Linked DNA regions of Sus scrofa. The protein of the gene in region 5 purifies or fractionates together with the protein of the main gene of each other region. This does not show direct contact. Links are inferred from orthologs where the notes say so. Each region holds a gene or a part of one and is shown on either strand. Other genes may lie near its edges. The genes, in order: FBL, WDR77, MYBBP1A, UBTF and SIRT7.

The links.
Region 1: the proteins of SIRT7 (region 5) and FBL purify together in Homo sapiens (affinity purification with mass spectrometry; 3 studies listed by BioGRID, with this or other methods). This does not show direct contact. The link is inferred for Sus scrofa from reciprocal best matches to the Homo sapiens genes SIRT7 and FBL.
Region 2: the proteins of SIRT7 (region 5) and WDR77 purify together in Homo sapiens (affinity purification with mass spectrometry; 3 studies listed by BioGRID, with this or other methods). This does not show direct contact. The link is inferred for Sus scrofa from reciprocal best matches to the Homo sapiens genes SIRT7 and WDR77.
Region 3: the proteins of SIRT7 (region 5) and MYBBP1A purify together in Homo sapiens (affinity purification with western blotting; 3 studies listed by BioGRID, with this or other methods). This does not show direct contact. The link is inferred for Sus scrofa from reciprocal best matches to the Homo sapiens genes SIRT7 and MYBBP1A.
Region 4: the proteins of SIRT7 (region 5) and UBTF purify together in Homo sapiens (affinity purification with western blotting; 3 studies listed by BioGRID, with this or other methods). This does not show direct contact. The link is inferred for Sus scrofa from reciprocal best matches to the Homo sapiens genes SIRT7 and UBTF.

What each region holds. Positions count from the first base shown.
Region 1 is NC_010448.4:48,323,627-48,327,765, forward strand, and holds the start of FBL (rRNA 2'-O-methyltransferase fibrillarin), read right to left. Parts: upstream 2,808-4,139; 5' UTR 2,689-2,807; coding exon 2,679-2,688; intron 1-2,678.
Region 2 is NC_010446.5:108,913,137-108,916,104, reverse strand, and holds the end of WDR77 (methylosome protein 50), read right to left. Parts: intron 2,848-2,968; coding exon 2,739-2,847; intron 2,202-2,738; coding exon 2,133-2,201; intron 1,611-2,132; coding exon 1,451-1,610; coding exon of another isoform or gene 1,420-1,450; 3' UTR 511-1,419; downstream 1-510. UniProt on the Homo sapiens protein: Non-catalytic component of the methylosome complex, composed of PRMT5, WDR77 and CLNS1A, which modifies specific arginines to dimethylarginines in several spliceosomal Sm proteins and histones.
Region 3 is NC_010454.4:50,493,301-50,496,083, forward strand, and holds part of MYBBP1A (myb-binding protein 1A), read right to left. Parts: intron 2,035-2,783; coding exon 1,797-2,034; intron 1,617-1,796; coding exon 1,491-1,616; intron 1,405-1,490; coding exon 1,336-1,404; intron 829-1,335; coding exon 715-828; intron 513-714; coding exon 411-512; intron 1-410. UniProt on the Homo sapiens protein: May activate or repress transcription via interactions with sequence specific DNA-binding proteins. Repression may be mediated at least in part by histone deacetylase activity (HDAC activity).
Region 4 is NC_010454.4:19,003,574-19,006,655, reverse strand, and holds the end of UBTF (nucleolar transcription factor 1), read right to left. Parts: intron 3,008-3,082; coding exon 2,864-3,007; intron 2,773-2,863; coding exon 2,647-2,772; 3' UTR 511-2,646; downstream 1-510. UniProt on the Homo sapiens protein: Recognizes the ribosomal RNA gene promoter and activates transcription mediated by RNA polymerase I (Pol I) through cooperative interactions with the transcription factor SL1/TIF-IB complex.
Region 5 is NC_010454.4:1,076,868-1,081,016, forward strand, and holds the start of SIRT7 (NAD-dependent protein deacetylase sirtuin-7), read left to right. Parts: upstream 1-1,338; 5' UTR 1,339-1,339; coding exon 1,340-1,432; intron 1,433-1,502; coding exon 1,503-1,640; coding exon of another isoform or gene 1,641-1,721; coding exon 1,722-1,826; intron 1,827-3,729; coding exon 3,730-3,800; intron 3,801-3,903; coding exon 3,904-3,976; intron 3,977-4,149. UniProt on the Homo sapiens protein: NAD-dependent protein-lysine deacylase that can act both as a deacetylase or deacylase (desuccinylase, depropionylase, deglutarylase and dedecanoylase), depending on the context. Specifically mediates deacetylation of histone H3 at 'Lys-18' (H3K18Ac).

The DNA.
Region 1 (4,139 bases), on a different chromosome or scaffold from region 5:
TGACCCTTCTCTCACACCTGCATACAAGCTGTTGGCTCTATCTTCAAAATATGTTCCCAAATGGTGACAATTTGTCAGCCAGGTCCACTGCTACCACCCTGGCCTAAGCCATATCATCTCCTAGTAGATGACAGCAACCAACTTCCCACTGATGAGTCTGCTTTCATTCTTTTTTTTTTTTTTTTTTTTTTGTTGTTGTTGTTGTTGTTGCTATTTCTTGGGCCGCTCCCGCGGCATATGGAGGTTCCCAGGCTAGGGGTCCAATTGGAGCCGTAGCCACCGGCCTACGCCAGAGCCACAGCAACGTGGGATCCGAGCCGCGTCTGCAACCTACACCATAGCTCACGGCAACGCCGGATCGTTAACCCACTGAGCAAGGGCAGGGACCGAACCCGCAACCTCATGGTTCCTAGTCGGATTCGTTAACCACTGCGCCACGATGGGAACTCCTCCTGCTTTCATTCTTGTTCCCCTAAAGTCTTTTTTCTTTTTTGGTTTTTAGGGCTGCACCCGTGGCATATGGAAGTTTCCAGGCTAAGAGTCCAATCCGAGCCACAGCTGCTGGCCTACACCACAGCTCACGGCAATGCTGGATCCTTAACCCACTGAGCGAGGCCAGGGATCGAACCCACATCCTTGTGGATACTAATCAGATTCGTTTTCCGCTGCACCACGACAAGAACTCCCCCTCCTAAAATCTTTTATACACAGAAGCAGGAAGGATCCTTTTAAATGTCTCAGTCAAGTCTGACTGACATCATGTCTCGGTTCAGAATCTCCCAAAGGCTTCTTCTCTCAACCAGATTAAACTCCTTGCTAAAGAGCTGACTCCTGACAATTTCTACAACTTTACAGCCTAATACAGCGAAGGAGGGGTTGGAAGGAAGGTGTATCTTGCGCCACTCCTGGGGTAATCAGACCACAGGATGCTTGCAGGCATACCAGGGTCTCATGGAGACACCCTCCTGGCACTTCTCATTCCACAAGTAGATCCCCAAACACTGAAGAAGAGAAAGGGAACTTGGGAGGCAGCATGGACCCACAAAACAGCCTCCCCCTCCCCCCGACACCTCCAGATGACCCCATCCCTCCACAGGCTGGGGTCAGGGGGGACTGGAAAGGAAGAAAAAAAAAAAACAAAAACTTTTGGTCAGGATAGAAGATTTCCCCAACTCCAAGGGAACCAAGTTACAGGGAGGGGCTTGGCCTGACTTAGGAAGAAGGACCATAATCTCATTTCCCTTAAGAAGATAACAATTGGAGCCAATACTATTATATGTCAAGGGCTGTGCTATATGAGATACAGTTGACATAATATAACGTTGTGTAAGTTCAAGGCATACAACCTGTTGATTTGATACTGGTATATTGTGAAATGACTGTCAGCAGGTGCTGATTTTTTTCTTTTTTCCGTCTTTTTGCCTTTTCTAGGGCAGCTTCCCGCAGCATATGGAGGTTCCCAGGCTAGGGGTCTAATCGGAGCTGTAGCCACCGGCCTACACCAGAGCCACAGCAACGCGAGATCCGAGCTGCGTCTGCAACCTACACCACAGCTCACGGCAACACCGGATCCTTAACCCACTGAGCAAGGGCAGGGATCGAACCCGCAACCTCATGGTTCCTAGTCGGATTCGTTAACCACTGCGCCACGATGGGAACTCCCGGTATTTCTTCTTAACATGATTTCACTAAATTAGAGCTGGGTGCCATTTTTCATTGATGAGATAACAGAGGCTCAGAGAGAGAAAGTCACTTACTTGCTCCAGATCACACAGTAAATTAAGCATAGTGAGGACTGAAACTTTGAACGGAGGCTCTTCTGCTGTCAAAGCCTGTACTCTCATCATTAGACCAAGAGGGAGATGCACTGGGTTCATCAAAATCTCGAGTAAGATCGGAATGGATAAAAACACTCATGCTCCGTGATTACGCGCCCCCCCCCCCACTTTAATCCTATACTGGGCTGTCAAGTTTCATCTCATCTCTCATCAGCACTAGGCCCAGGATCTCCATCCTCAGGGACCCGCCCCTCTCTGGTAAGTGGAGAGCGGGAAAATGGGCCAGAGAGACTACCAAGCCGGGAGAATCCATCCATGCCGGCCCTCTCCGAGAAGCTGGGTGTTGGGGCCAAGGGTACCGCAGTAGCGGTGGCGACACAGGAGCATACCTGGTCCTCTCAGACCCAGCTTTCGGACCCCCGAATCAGCGACTCTCCGCCTCCGAACCAGGACAAATTCCCAAATCCCACACCCAGAGATCCGAGACCCTAGATGCCTGGATCTGGATTCTGGGTTAGTATTCGCGATTGCTGCCGCCGGGCCAACATCCAAGACCTCTAACGACAGCTTCAATGAAACGAATCCCAGGTCAAGACACAACCCTCCTCAAGCCCACGCCAAAGACCCTCGACCCACGACTGTGACCTCGGGAAAGCCAGTCACAAAGCTCCAGACCAGGAACCCGAACCCCGGGCTCAAGTTCAATCACCATGCAAAAGCGAGCCCCCTTCACCCACACCGGAGAGCGGAACCAAGACCCCCCTCCCCACAAGAGACCGGATCCGGGGCTCAGAACTCCTGCCTCCAGGCCAAGACCACCATACCCCTTCGTTCCGGACTGGCACCCCGATCCCCACCAGGCCCCAGTCCCAGACCCCCGATCCCAACCCCGGCCCGTACCTGGTTTCATAGCGAGCACAGAGGTTCGCTACTCAGTAATCTGAGGCTCTTTCGACTCCACGCGTCCCGGGTTTACGCACGTGGAAAGGAGCGCAGGCGCGCGGCGACGTGCGGCGCGTGACGCAAGCACGCAGACCCCATCCTTCGGAGCCACAGCCCCGCCCATGGCTTGTGTGCGCGCTGTGGGCGGGGATTCCCGAGCCCCTCCCGGTACCGCCTCTTCGACCGCCGCTGGCACCGCCTTTCCTGTGCAGCGCTTGCTGCCTGAACACTCTTCCCGCTTCCTCTCCACCTGTGCAAGCACCCCAGTAATCAGGTCTCCAAACCTTCGCACGGGCTACCCTAGCTCCTCTTCTCTATTCCTGATTAACTCCCTAAGTTTCCCTCTACACCTCAAAGCCTTCCCTAATCCATTTTCACCCCCAAGAACAAGGGCCAACTCTGGACTCGCATTCATACATTTGAAAAGCACTAATTATGCGCCTGAATGTACGAAGCACTGTTCTAGGCTTTGGAAATATGGCAGAGAACAAGACAGACACATCCCCACCCTCCTGGAGCTCATCTTGCAGTGGGGGAAACAAACAGCAAACGAGTTAGTAAAAATCATTGTTGAATGATAGTTAGTAAAAATCATTGTTGAATGATAGAAGGCTGTAAGTGCTTTGGAGAAAATAGCAGGGAGGGAATAGGGACTGGTGTTGGGAGTGGGGGACAGTGTGTGAAATTTCTTACCCGGTGGTCAGGGAGCCCATCTGGTGATTTTTGAGCAAAGAGCGAAAGAAGATGAGGAGGGAGGCATGTTCTATCTGCGGGAAGAGAACGCAGGCAGCAAGGGTTGCAGGTGCCAAGGCCCTGAAGCAGGAAAGGTAAGGAGGGTTGCAGAAACAGTGAGGGATGTGGTCGGGGCAGAGTAATCTTGGGGAGAGGGGGAGGAGATGAGGGTAGGGAGGTCGACAAAGCAAATTGTATGGAGCTTTAGGGTGATAATTTTGGCTTTTACTCTGAGAGAGAAAGAGGTTCCTGAACAAAGAAGGGATATAATCTCACTTGGGTCGCCTGGCTGTATGTGGGAAACTGAGTGAAGGAATAGGTTTGGGAGACCAATGAGGGCCCTGCTGCAATGGATCATGATGCAGGCAGAGGAAGGGGTGAGGAGTGAGCAGATTCTGCCTAAGTATTGAGAAATTTGTGCTTTGTAATTTTATAACTTGAATATGCATCCTATATATTTGTTCCTCAGAACAAAACAAGTGGGAGTTCCCGTTGTGGCGCAGTGGTTAACGAATCCGACTAGGAACCATGAGGTTGCGGGTTCGATCCCTGCCCTTGCTCAGTGGGTTAAGGATCCAGCATTGCTGTGAGCTGTGGTGTAGGTTGCAGACGTGGTTCGCATCCCAAGTTGCTGTGGCTCTGGCGTAGGCCGGTGGCCACAGCTCTGATTCGACCCCTAGCCTGGGA
Region 2 (2,968 bases), on a different chromosome or scaffold from region 5:
ATGACCACAAATTTTAAGCTTTTGCCTCTGGGAAGTGTTTCTACCAAAGCACCAATTCTTCCCAGGGAGTTAGAGTTAAGAACAGTGAAGCTTCCTTCCTACCTCCCCGCAAACCCAGTAGACAGATCCACTGACTACAAATTGCCCTGTTTTTACTAGAGGGTAACTGTGAGAATAGAGCTCGTGCTCAGCAAGGGTGGAACACAGAAGCTTTACTTACCAATACTTTGCCCATGAAACTGGGGCGGTTTCATGGGATTTTCACTAAATGAAACTTGGAAAGCACAAAAGTACATAGCTGATTGCATTTAGTTTCAATGCAATCAGTAATTGACCCATAACTTCTAAGCGGCAGTAGCCACCAACCAAATAACCAAACGTTTGCCTTAAGTTCCAACTACTCCGTGGGGCTGGGGAAGCACACACAAAAAATAACGGGCTATAGGACTGGTACCCAGATGACACATAAGTGACACAGGTCTAACTGCACATGAGACACACACCTCAAAAGACAGGCCAACAATGAATCAACTTTTTATTTCACTGACCAGTATTTCCGATTCTCTCTCTCTCTTGCTGCATTTAAAATCTTCAGAGTTCCCCAAAATAACATTCAGGCTTCCTAGATCCAGAGGCAGGGACCCAGAGGCAAAAAAGGTCAGGCCCCAGGCTGTTTTCAGGTGGGAAAGTGGCAGACATTCCTATGAAAGTCTGTGTCAGTTTTTAACTGAAGTGCCTTTAAGCTCTCCACCTTCCTGAAACTTTTTCCCATGGCATCTATGACAGAAATACACTCATCTCTCATATACACAACTTCACGGGGGGTGGGCATCACACACTTCTTACTCAGCCAGCAACTGGACTTCGGCTCAGTCTAATGGCAAAGAGATGTGCAAAACCATGTTAAGTGTCCTGGCTCTTCCTCAAGGTGAGCTGGGCCGGACTTCTGTGAATGGAAGCACTGCCCATGACAAAGGCGAATCAAGCTCTATTAAAAAAATAAAGGTGCTCCTATCTCTATGACGAGTCACGAGCTGCTTCCAAGAATCCAGCAATGCCCACAGCCCAGACCTTACCAAGACACAGTCAATTCCTCAAGCATAGCTACATGGGAGGCATAAAAACCTTCTGCCAACTTCTTGTGGGGGGAGGGGGGTTAGATCTTGGGGAAGATGCGGGATGCATTTTTTTTTATTCATCTCTGCTAAAAAAATTATGTTATCTACACATACACTCAGACACATACACACACGTCCATCTTCAAGGAAGTTTTTCTTCTCTGTGACTACAGGACCCCAGATCCAGCCTCCCCCAGGCTGAGAGACAATGCCTATTAACAGATCTGGTGTGTCAACACACTATATAAGGCTCCTGTGTTGTCTCACAAACTGAGTGGGCAGGGGCAGAGGGAGCAGATACTCATGGGGGATTTGCTTGTCTTAAATCCAGTCTACTCGGCAGCACTCTTAAGTCCAGGCTCTGGGAAAGGTTCTGTGGGCAAGATGTGGTGGACGACCTGATGGTCCCAGCCCACTGTCGTAAGAAGGGAGTGATTGAGCGGTGACCAGGTAGCATCTCTCACAAAGTCTCTGTGGGCTCGGCTTCTAAACCTACAAGAGAAAAAAGAAAAGTGTGGGCACGTAAGAGAGACAGGAGGGACCAAGAAACGGACCCGACACCCCAGGGCACGTCCTGTGGATGTGTTACAGTCCAATCCAGGGCCCGATTTTCATAGAAGAAATGAGAGCCAGAGTAAAGGTAATGACACAAGTCAGCATCAGACAGCGGACCACAGCAAAGAAGGAAGTGCAATTCCAATCTCTGCCTGGTGCCTTTCGCCCTACAGCACGCTGCACTGCCTGCGTGTAGCTCTTCACATGAGGAGGGTAGACTGCCCCTTTCTGGGAGACAGCTGGAAGGCCAGACTCGGAAATCCCAACCCCACCACCTTCCCCCACTGCCAGGGACAGAGCTGGTTGTGAGTCAGCCCCGAACAAGGGAGACAGTCAAGCCTGCTTCCATCACCCGGTCCCGTGGAAAGAGACAATACACTTTTCCAAAGAGAAAAAGGACCCAGCCAGCGGCTGCTCCCCGCCCTGCTTCCCGATCACAGGATTCCACGTCACACTTACACCTTGGAGAGGCCCGAGTCCAGCACGGCGAGGGAGCAGTCTTCACTCACAGAAGCCAGGAAGGGAGTGCTAGGAGACAAGGGGGTGGCGGGGGGAGGTAAAGCCCACAGGCCCCAATGCAAAACCTCACTGGCCCCCAGACCCCGACTCTAAAGTGATCGGAGCAGCTGGCCTAACCCCACTTAAGGCTAAGGTCTGGCTACACCTAAGTCTACAGTATACGTTTCAAAGACAGATGAGGAAAAGGGAGCAAAGCCAGGGCTGAGAAGCATCCCAGCAACTAACCTTCTCACTGGGTCCCTCCCCACAGCTTCATCAATAACCCAGAAACAACTTCCAACCACACAGCCCTAGAAGCCCACAATATTAGTCACTGTGGGTGTTGAGCAGGAACAACACCGAATTTCAGCCATTTGCAGTCAGAGACCATACAACCCCCAAAAGGACTGCAGTGTTAAGAGCCCCCTCACTGAGATTCCGAAAGCTCAGCTACAACAGTGCCTGCTTTAAGGAACTACCCAGTCGGCCAGTGCTCCGCCGACACAGGCATCTCCCCTCACTGTTCCCATTTACACCCGCCAGGCCCTCGACGACAAAGAACAGTACCTGTGTGGAGAGAACACCAGCCCGGTGACACTCTGGGAGTGCACAGTTGCGCTGAGGGCACAGCTTGCACTCTTGGTGTCCACAAGGGAGACGGTCCCATTCTCATCGCCTGAAGGAAAGAGGGGGGACATCACAGAGGTAAGAGCATGGGCTTTGGACTCAGCCAGGCCTGGATTTGGATGCTCGTTCCTCAATCTTGGACAAGTTCACCACTCTAAGCATCAATTTCC
Region 3 (2,783 bases), about 49 Mb from region 5:
CCTCTAGGCCAGAGGGGGAGAACCAGACACCCTCAGAGGCCTCCTGGCCCCACGCCCGCCTCCTGTCTGCAGGCCTGGAACCTAGGCTCTTTTCTGACAGCCGCCCCCCAGGAACCTTCCTCGCCTCCTCCGCTATCACTGGCCCCCCTCGCCCCTTCTCAGCTTTCGCCCGGGAGCACGGCAACAGCCCACCGGCGCCCCCTCCCCGGCCAGGTGCGAGCTGTGAGCCTCTCTTCCCAGTGAAGTGCCTTGACCTGAGACTCTCTAACCACCCGCATGAGAACAGCCCAGATTCCTCCCCCGGCATCCAGAACCTCTCCCACGTGGCTTCCCACCAGCTCCCAAACCCCTGCTCAGGCTCCGTGCTCACCAGCACGTGCGGCGACCTCCCGCCTGAGCCCCAGGCTCACCTCCTGGCGAATGTTCTTGAAGAGAGTGTTGAGCAGCTCCAAGGAGGACAACTCCTTCTGGTGCTCCGACTTGGTCTCGGCCTCCCCCAGCGTCCGCAGGTTCTGGGGAGAAGGCGGCCAGCCTGAGCCCCTCCACAGAGCCGTTCCAGGCCTCTCCACCTCCCACAGGAGGCCGAGGCCCAAGGGAACAAACGCCTCCTGGGCAAACCCAAACCCGCCCCAGGCACGGGGTCCCGCACTCCTTGCCCCCAGGTTCCCAGAGCCACTGATGGCAGGTGGGGGGCGGAGGCCCCGTGGCTGTTACCTCGGAGACCTTCGCCAGGATCTGGCCCATCAGCTGCTCCCACTCCGGGGCCTTAAAGCACAGTCTCAGCTCCCGCGTGTGCAGGCTCTTCTGGAGCAGCAGGCAGGCCTGGGCCTGGGCGGGGAACACGTGGTCACCGGGAGCCTCGGCATGCTGCGTCAAGGCTCAGGGAAGCACAGGGGACCTGGGGAGCCTGCCAGGTACCCGAATAGACTGTGACAAGGCCAGGCTGTGCGGGAGGGGCTGCCCGCTGCTCTGGGGCCAACCTGCCTGAGCTGTCACCACAGGCACCCGGGGCTCGGCCATCGCCTGCTCCTGCCCCCTCTTCTCAGGCAGGTGGGAGGACCTGGACAGGGGGCCCCACTTAGGGTGACATAGTTACTGGTCCTTTGCTAATTCAGTGCCTCTTCCTCCAGCGTCTCCAGCCGCCTGTCTGATGCCCACCCCCAGGCCAACCTGTTAGCCTCGGGGCTCCCTCCACGTAGGCCAGAGCCTGAGCTCTGAGGAGCTGGAGGGCTCAGGCCACAAGCAAAGTGTCTCGTCCCCACACCCAGCGCCCCCCTCTCCAATAACCAGCCAGACAGGAGTCAAGCGGGTCCTGGGATCCGGGGACCCTCTTACCTGATGGCGGGGCCGACTGTGGCTGGCTATGTGCTCGACCACGAGGGGGAGCAGGTTCTTACAGAGCATCTGTGGAGGGAAGGACAGGGCTGGGACGTGGGCAATGAGGAGCGGGCTGAGCAGGGGCCCAAGGGGGTGGCCGGGCCTGCACTCACCGGGTGCCGGCAGAAGAGGCTGAGGAACATGGGAACGGTGAGCGGACTGTTGCGCTTGGTCAGGAACGAGCTCAGCACCGCTGAGTAGATCGGGGTCACGCGGCTCAAGTCCAAGCAGGTGGCAGCCTGGACCACGAGAGACAGAGCGCAGTGTGAGGCCGGGCTGCCTTCGGAGGGCGGACCACTGGATCCTGGGGAAGGCTTGGCCTCAACTCCCACTCCGTGAAATGGGCGGGTGGCCCCGCGCCCCCTGGGCCTTGCTCCCATCTCTGGGCATGGGAGCCTTCCCGGGTCAGGCCTGCTCACCTCGCGGCCCTGGGCGCTGGCATCAGCGGCGGTGGTTTTCTCCTTCTGGGCGGACTTGTCCACGGTGCTGCCCTTCAGGACCCGGAGCAGGTAGAGCGAGGCGTTGAAGTGGTACAGGGCGACGGAGGAGTCGGCCTGCTGGCCGGCCTGCCGCACCAGCCGCTCCAGCTGGGCATACACTGTCTCCACACGGTCCCCCACGTCGCGGCAGTAATGCCGGGAGCGGCACAGGTGGTGTCTGTGGCGGGGGAAGGGCCAGAGCTGGTCAGCGGCCTGCCCCCGCCTGCTCCCTGCCCAGCAGGAGCCAAGCCCCAGAGCCCCGGGCCCCACATCCCAGGCAGGAAAGTCACCAAAGGGGTCGCCCCGGGGCCACGCCCAGATCTGCTCTGAGGAAAACGGGGGGCAACTGGCTCCCTGGGCGAGGCTCCGCTAGGGCCAACATCCCGACCTGGTCCCCAGCCGCATCTGCATCGTCTCTCGGGGGACAGTGGCCTCCAGGCCCTTTGGAAAGCAAAACCAGGGTCTGTGTGCTCAGAAGCCTGCTGGGCCCTGCGGGACCAGGTGCAGATGGGACAGGAGGCAGGGCACTCCACAGACGACACTGCGGCAGGGAGGGGAGGGCCGGCCGTCGCTTGTGACCCGGGGCCAGTGGGGAGCGAGCCGCGGGTGCGCTGCCCCACTCTCGCCACCCGCTTAACGGTCCTCACGCCTCTACCTGCCACCTGCTTGCGTCTCACTGGGCTCCCTGCTCCAGCACAGCCCACCCTGCTGCCCATTTCTGAAAAGGCAAACCAGCCCCCGGGCCCATGCTCTTGCTGCAAACACTTCCGCAGACCCCCAGCAGTTCAAGGGCCAGGCCGTGAGGGCTCGATGCTGTGGCTGCGTCTGACTGGCGCCCGGCTGGACACGCCTTCCCGCCCTCTTCAGCTCTGACGTTGCTGACCCCTCTCCCAGGAGGCCCTCCCTGCGACCTCACTGGCTCCTATG
Region 4 (3,082 bases), about 18 Mb from region 5:
CAACCCAACGTGAACCAACTGAATCGAGAAAGTGCAAAAACAGTAGCACAAGGAGTTCCCGTCGTGGCGCAGTGGTTAATGAATCTGACTTGGAACCATGAGGTTGCGGGTTCGGTCCCTGCCCTTGCTCAGTGGGTTAAGGATCCGGCGGTGCCGTGAGCTGTGGTGTGAGTCACAGATGCAGCTAGGATTCCGAGTTGCTGTGGCTCTGGTGTAGGCTGGTGGCTACAGCTCCGATTCAACCCCTAGCCTGGGAACCTCCATATGCTGCAAGAGGGGCTCAAGAAAAGGCAAAAAGACAAAGCAAAACAAAACAAACAAAAAAACCCCCAGTAGCACAAAACAGTGCGAAGGTAGGTTGCCTATGGCATCTTCAGGAGAGAGGAAGATGGTTCTAGAAAGAAGAGGCCAAGAAGCTGGCTTCAAGGGGCTTTCCACATTGAGCCTGTTCGGTCACCTCTGCCACCACTCCCCCTTCATGGAGTCCAGTGATCAGACAGCACTCAAACCTTTGTTTTTTTACTTTATTGTACAAAAAAAGGGAAAACAAAACTTCCACAGTTGGCCTTAAGCTTAGGCGGACACCTCTAAGCCATTCCCTCCCACCTCCCATGTTACAAATTCAAGTTGTGGTTGTTGTTGAAACCTACAAAAACACTCCTTAAATATTAGAAAAAAGGGGGGGGAGCGGGGTCCTCCCACCCCAGCCATCCCATCCCAGTGCCAAAATGCACTCAGAGTGACCTCTCACAGCACCAACACCCTAACCCCCCACAGCCCTGTTTGTACTGTAAGAATTTTTCAACTTTCAAAACGGGGGGAAAGAAACAGTGCCCCGCTCGAAGTTGGTTTTAAGTGAAGACATGTTTCACTAAAACACAACAGCGCAGGAGCATTCAAACAGGGAAACAGGGTTCTCTGCAGGGGCTCTCCGGAAGAAATAGAACCTATGAACCCTTGTACCTAATTCCAGGATCAGGACAAAGGAAGGGGAGTGGGAGTGGGAAGTGTCCCTCCCTAGCTCCCCCCACTCCCAGCACCAAGTCCAAGGCAAAGCGGACCGCCTGCCTTTGGGAGCAGGACCCACCTTTCCCAGCCCGCCTCCTGGGCGGAGCTCCCACTCTTCCCCATCCCTTGGCTTTCATTCAGAGGGGAAGGTGGAAAAGCACAAAGCCCCGATTAGATAGGTCAACGATGTGATTGTTTAAAAAAAAAAAAGTCAAAATTTAATAAAAACAACCCCCCCAAATTTAAACCCAGAGACAAGGTGGCTTGGCTTATTAAGAGTTTAGGAATCGGGGTACCAAAATTGGGGGGATGGCTGGGAAGGGTTAGGACAGCTGCAAAAACAGCTTGTGCAGACCTCTTCCCCAGCCGTGGGTTTGGGGAGGTGGGCAGACCTGAGAAATCAAAGGAAATGGGGGTGGGGGAGCTGGAGGATGTGGCGGAAAGGCAGGAGCGACGTGTAAGTTACAAGCTTCCAACACATTTCTCGGAGCCCAGGGTGGCCGGGAGGCCTCTCAGATGAGCTGCAGAGGCCTTTCCCACCAAATCAAAGCTTTAAGGTTCTACCTGGTCTGTTCCCCTCTCCGCCATCCTGCTGGATATTGGAGACCAGCAGTAGCTCAGAGGGAAACCAGTATGAGAAGCATCAGAGGAGCTTCGGTCACCCCGCAAAACTGAATCCGAGATTCGGCAAAGCAGAAGATATGGAGAAAGGGGCCACCCAGCCTGTCCCCATCAGGATCAATGTCACCCCGGCCCGCACCAACACTTTCACCAGATTCACAGACTTGAGGTGGGCTCCTCCTCCTCTCTTACACACACAAATACACATGTGCCTTTGCACACATCCACAGGTGCACCCATGCTATGTACAGGCCACGCACACACACACGCACACACACGCATTTTTCCACACGCATCAAGACCGTTTTAAAAAAGTCCCAAACCTAACCCCTACCCCCTCCCTCTCCCAGAAATGACAACAGAGACGGCAGCCGAGATCGGTAGGAAACGTCTCGTTGACAGCTCAGAGCTTAAAAAAAAAAATATATACACATATATAAAAAACACTTCTGCCCCCTCCCCTCGTGAGTGGGTCCAGGCAGCTCCTTCCTGCAGGGGGCAGGGGAGAGGGCTGGGGGGCCGTGCCTATTTCCCCATAGGCACCCGCCCTCCTCTCCCATGTCCCCTGCCTCCAGTTCCAATGTAGGGGTCCAGGCTGCAGCCCCTCTGGAAACAAAGGGGCCTTCCCCAAGCTTCCACCCTCCCAGGGGTTGGGCTGCAGGTGTAGAGGGCCTCAGAGAACTCTTTGGGACCCACCCCCGATCCCACTCCCAGGTCCATTGTCCATGCCGGAACTGCGAGTGCAAAAGAGGGGTGGGCTGGGCCGGTCCAGTGGTGGCTCAGTCTGGTGGTTGCGCTCCCTGGAGGGCCCTCCAGGGCTGATGGCTCTAAGGCCGCAGAGTTCTAGCCTGGGCGCCTCCAGTGCCTCTCCCCACTGTATTTTGTTTTTTTTTTTAAAAAAAAAGAAAAAAGAAAAAGAAAGAAAGAAAGTGGGGGAGGCCAGGGGGCAGGGGACAGAACATGGGAGAGAAACAAAGGTGGTCAGTCGAGGAGGGGCGCCCCGCGTGGGGCTGAGCCTCAGTTGGAGTCAGAGTCCGAGGAGTCCCCCGAGGAGGACGAGCTGGAGCTGCTGCCCTCGGATTCGTTGTCCTCGTCCTCGTCGTCATCCTCGTCGTCGTCCTCGTCCTCATCCTCATCCTCGTTCTGGGAGGCAAGGGAAGTGCAGTCACCAGGGGGCCGTGCTGGCGGGACCCCGTCCCGCCCTCCCGCCCGCCCGCCTGCCCGCCCGCCCCACCTCATCCCCGTCCTCGCTCTCGTCCTCGCTGCTGGACTCGGAGGAGTCGCCGCCATCCTCGGAGGAGTCCCCGTTCTCGTCATCTTCCTCCTCCTCGTCCTCGTCCTCGTCCTCCTCATCCTCTTCATCGTCCTCCTCAGACTCCTGCGAGGGATGGAAGCCCATCAGGGGTCCCTGCCGCGCCCTGGACCCTGCACGGGGCCCTCCTCCTGGGAGGGG
Region 5 (4,149 bases):
CCCAGCGTGGCCCCAGGGAGCCCACCCCATGGCCCCTGGCTGCTGCTCCAGGCGGCGTGGCGTTTATGCGGGCAAGAAGCTGCAGCTGCTCCGCGGCTGTGTGGCGGGCTGGTTGCTGCTGTGTGCGGGTCTCTCCGGAGGCTTTTCTACTCTTGGTCTGTGCCTCAGGTCTGGGCACAACCCTGACCGTCAGCAGCGGCCTTGATAGTTGGTGCCCAGGCCCATGGCTCTGATCAGCTGCAGCGTGCTTTGGGACAGGTGGACAAACTCCACGCAGTCCCTGCCGCCTCCCCCCTCTGGGGTCGAGAGTTGGCCAAAGCTCCAGTCCACAGCTGGAAGCCACAGCCTGCAGCACTGTTTCCGCTCTGGGATCTTGTAAGTTACTTTTTTAGGCTGTGGTTTGGTGAAAGGAACCAACCCATTAACGATTTTTTTCCCCAGAAGCCACCGAATAATTCTTTTTGGCGCGTTTTCACCTTCCTCTTGGCTGTCTGGTTTTGGAGCAGATGGGAAGAGGCAGGGGTGTGCCCTGGAGACGGATGGCCTGCCCTGCTCTGGCCTGTGTGTCCTGAGCATGTGCTCTACCTGTTGGGTCAGTTGCATATGTTTCCACCCCACCCTGGAGCAGCAGCCTTGGTACCGGGGTGTCCTTGGCGGGAGTCTGAGCTGGCGTGTAGGAGAGCCTGTCCGAGATGAGTTGTGAGGGAGATGCCTCTCATGGCCTCGTGTCCCAGCCCCACCCTTCTCCCCATCCCCTCAATCTGCTAGTCCCTGAAGCCTTTAACCAAACGGGAGTGGGTAAAGAAAGCCTTCTCCTGGCATCTTAGGGCGGCAGGACAAGGGCTGTCCAGTGTGTCCAGCTCTGCTGCTCTCCCGACGCAGCGAGGGTGGGCCAAGCAGAGTTGATCAGCCCCTGCCTGCTCTGCTGAAGGCTGCGGACAGGAGGGGGTGGGGGTACCCTGGGGTCTGCGGGGGGCGGGCGGGGGTTGTTGAAGATCCAGGTGAGGAGGGGCCTCGCTGGGGCACCCGGGCTGACCTGGGGCGGAGCGGCCTCGCGCCGTCCCTGCCCTGTGCAGTATTTATTGCTAAATTATTGTCCAGGAGGGGCGGCACTGGGCCGGGCCCTGGGTATTTATTGCTGTACATAGTGTATGTTTGTGATATATAAGGTTTTCTTTATTTTGTATATGATCAATAAACACCTTTTAAACAGACTGGCAGGTGCTTCCTTGGGGCGGCGCGCGGGCGGGGCGGGGGGCGGGGGCGGCGCCTCGCGCGCATGCGCCGGCGCGCGGCCCGCTGGGAGGCGGAAGCGGAAGCGCGGGTCTCCCCGGGAGCGATGGCTGCCGGGGGTCTAAGCCGGTCGGAGCGCAAGGCGGCGGAGCGGGTCCGGAGGCTGCGGGAGGAGCAGCAGCGGGAGCGCCTCCGCCAGGTACGCCGCCGCCCGCCCCGCGCCGCATCTCCGCCCCGCGCCACCCTCACCGCCTGCCCTGCGCCCGCAGGTGTCGCGCATCCTGAGGAAGGCGGCGGCCGAACGCAGCGCGGAGGAAGGCCGGCTCCTGGCCGAGAGCGAGGACCTGGTGACCGAGCTGCAGGGCCGGAGCAGGCGGCGCGAGGGCCTGAAGCGGCGGCAGGAGGAGGCGAGTCCCGGGGTGCGGGCGGGCCGACCGGGGACGCGGGCCGGCCGGGGGCCCTCACCACCGGCCTCGGCGTCTCGGCAGGTGTGCGATGACCCAGAGGAGCTGCGGAGAAAAGTCCGGGAGCTGGCCGACGCCGTCCGCAACGCCAAGCACCTGGTCGTCTACACGGGCGCGGGGATCAGCACGGTAGGGAGGCGAGGCGGGGACAGCCGCGCCCCGGGGCGGCTCCCAGTTCTCGGGAAACGCGGACCAGCGGGACGGGGGCGGTCGGAGGGCGCCCCCTTCTGGGTGTCTGACCCCAGCACCGAGCACGGTACTGCTAAGCAGCAACACGGATTCACGAAACATTCCCCTTAAAAAGCACCTCTGAGAGTCTTTCCTTCTTAGAGGAGCTTGAAAGGACTCCACTTGGAACTTCACTGAGTAGATAAACGTTCTCAAACACTTGAGCTCTGTGTTACACGCAGTTAGAAAGAGGAGAGGAAGAGGGATACATCGGGGCGTGACAGATCAGTGCTTGCGGCGTCCTCATCGAAAGTTACGGGGTTAATTCTCCCTCCGAGGTGATGTGGGGAGAGCCAAGCCCCAAACCCTCTTCTGACTCTCCGTGCGGTGTGTGTTCTGAATGAGGAACGGTCGGTACCGGACAAGGCAGTACCGGTCAGGTTAGGGTGCACCCTGTGAGATGAGACATGCTTTGTTTTGCGAAGTTGTAGCGCGACGACCTGGGCGGTGGAATATGACCGGCCTTGACAGTGGGGATAGTCTGATTGCTGGCTGTAGGTTGAGTGTGACCTACAGGTGGGCCTGGCAGAGGTGAGTAACAGGGATTTTTGTCTTCAAGATGCCCAGCACTGCCAGGTGATGCTCGGAAGCCATGTTGACAGATACTTGTAATGTGGGGCTGGCCGCGCTAGGGCACTAGAATAGAAATCCCAGCGCCAGAGTTCCTGCTGTGGCGCAGTGGGTTAATGATCCGGCTTGGCTCTGTGGAGGCGCTGGTTTGAACCCCAGCCCAGCGCAGTTGCTTCAGGATTTGGCGTTGCCGAAGCTGCGGCCTGAGTCGCAGCTCTGGCTGAGGTTGGGTCCCTGGCTAGGGAACTTCCATGTGCCTCGGATGCGGTTGAAAACAAAAAGAAAAATTCAAGTATCCCCTCTGAGGTCTCAGATTGGGAGACCCATCTGGTTGGTTTTCCGTGGAAGGCAGCACTGAGTCTGGGCTTGAATGGTGGGAAAGATTTTCTAGACGCTTCAGGGGTAAGACACTGCAAACAGGGTTGACTGAAGAGGCCCAGTAACGAGGGTGTGTGAGGTACGTTACCTGCTTAGCAAACCTCTGGAGCCCTGGCACCCGTGAACTCCCATCACGAGATTCCGTAAAAGCTGTCATTTCACTTTCAAAGAACTGTAAGCAGCTGCGGAAGCCACGTGGCATTCAGGAATTGGCTCTGAGTGTTACTGTTTGAGGCTCCCCTGTTCAGGGTGAGTCGGAACCACTGGTCAGGGCAGGCATGTTCCTGAGTTTAAGCAGCAGAGAGGAGTCAGTGCTCCCCGGAAGGGGGCGCCCTCCCGGCCTGGGAGACGCCAGACGTCTTGGTCCTGGCGAAATTTTTGTCTCCTTCTCTCGGGGCGGTTCTTTCTCACTGAATTGGGAACTTGGGGAATTCAGTCATGTTTCTGTCACCTGAAGAGGCCGGCCTGTCTTCTGAAGGCAGGACAGGAACCCCTCACAGCGTCCGGTTGTAAGGCCTTGGAGGAGGTGCGTTCCGCCTAGGGCCTCACCATTTGCTGAGCACTGGCTGGGCCTGGAGTACACAACACCCAGATGAGCCTGACCAGTCCTGCTCCATGCTAGCGAGGCTCTCTGGATCCCAGAAGGATGAGCCGGACTGGTTGGGTGCAGGGGTCCAGGCAGAGGGAAGGAGTCGTGGGGGGTGCTCCCTCTGGGCGACCAGTTAGACTGGGAAACGCCGAGCCCCTGGAGTGAATGGAGGCCAGTCCCGGGACGTGCTGGGGAGATTCTTGGGGATTCTGCCAGCGCCTACAGTGATGCCCCTTCACTGGGCCTGTCTTCTTTCCGGACGTGCAGGCGGCCTCTATCCCAGACTACCGGGGCCCTAACGGAGTGTGGACGCTGCTTCAGAAAGGAAGAAGCGTTAGGTAAGCAGCCTGGCGCAGCCTTCCCACCTGGTTGAGCAGGGGCAGCGTGGGCCTGCCCTGCCCTGCCCGGTCCCCTCACCTCCGCTTCCCTTCCACCCGGCAGTGCTGCCGACCTGAGTGAGGCCGAGCCGACCCTCACCCACATGAGCATCGCCCGCTTACACGAGCAGAAGCTGGTAAGAGCCCAGGGCGGCGGCGCGCTTTGTCCGGTCGGCCCTGGGGGTCCGCCTCGGATACCGGAGGCCGAGGACGCTCAAGCCCCCCCCCCGCCCCGGGTAGACCTCCCGTCGCCTTCAGCCCGCTTGTACCACCAAAAACAATGGCAGGGCTGTGCAACTACCTGCCCGCA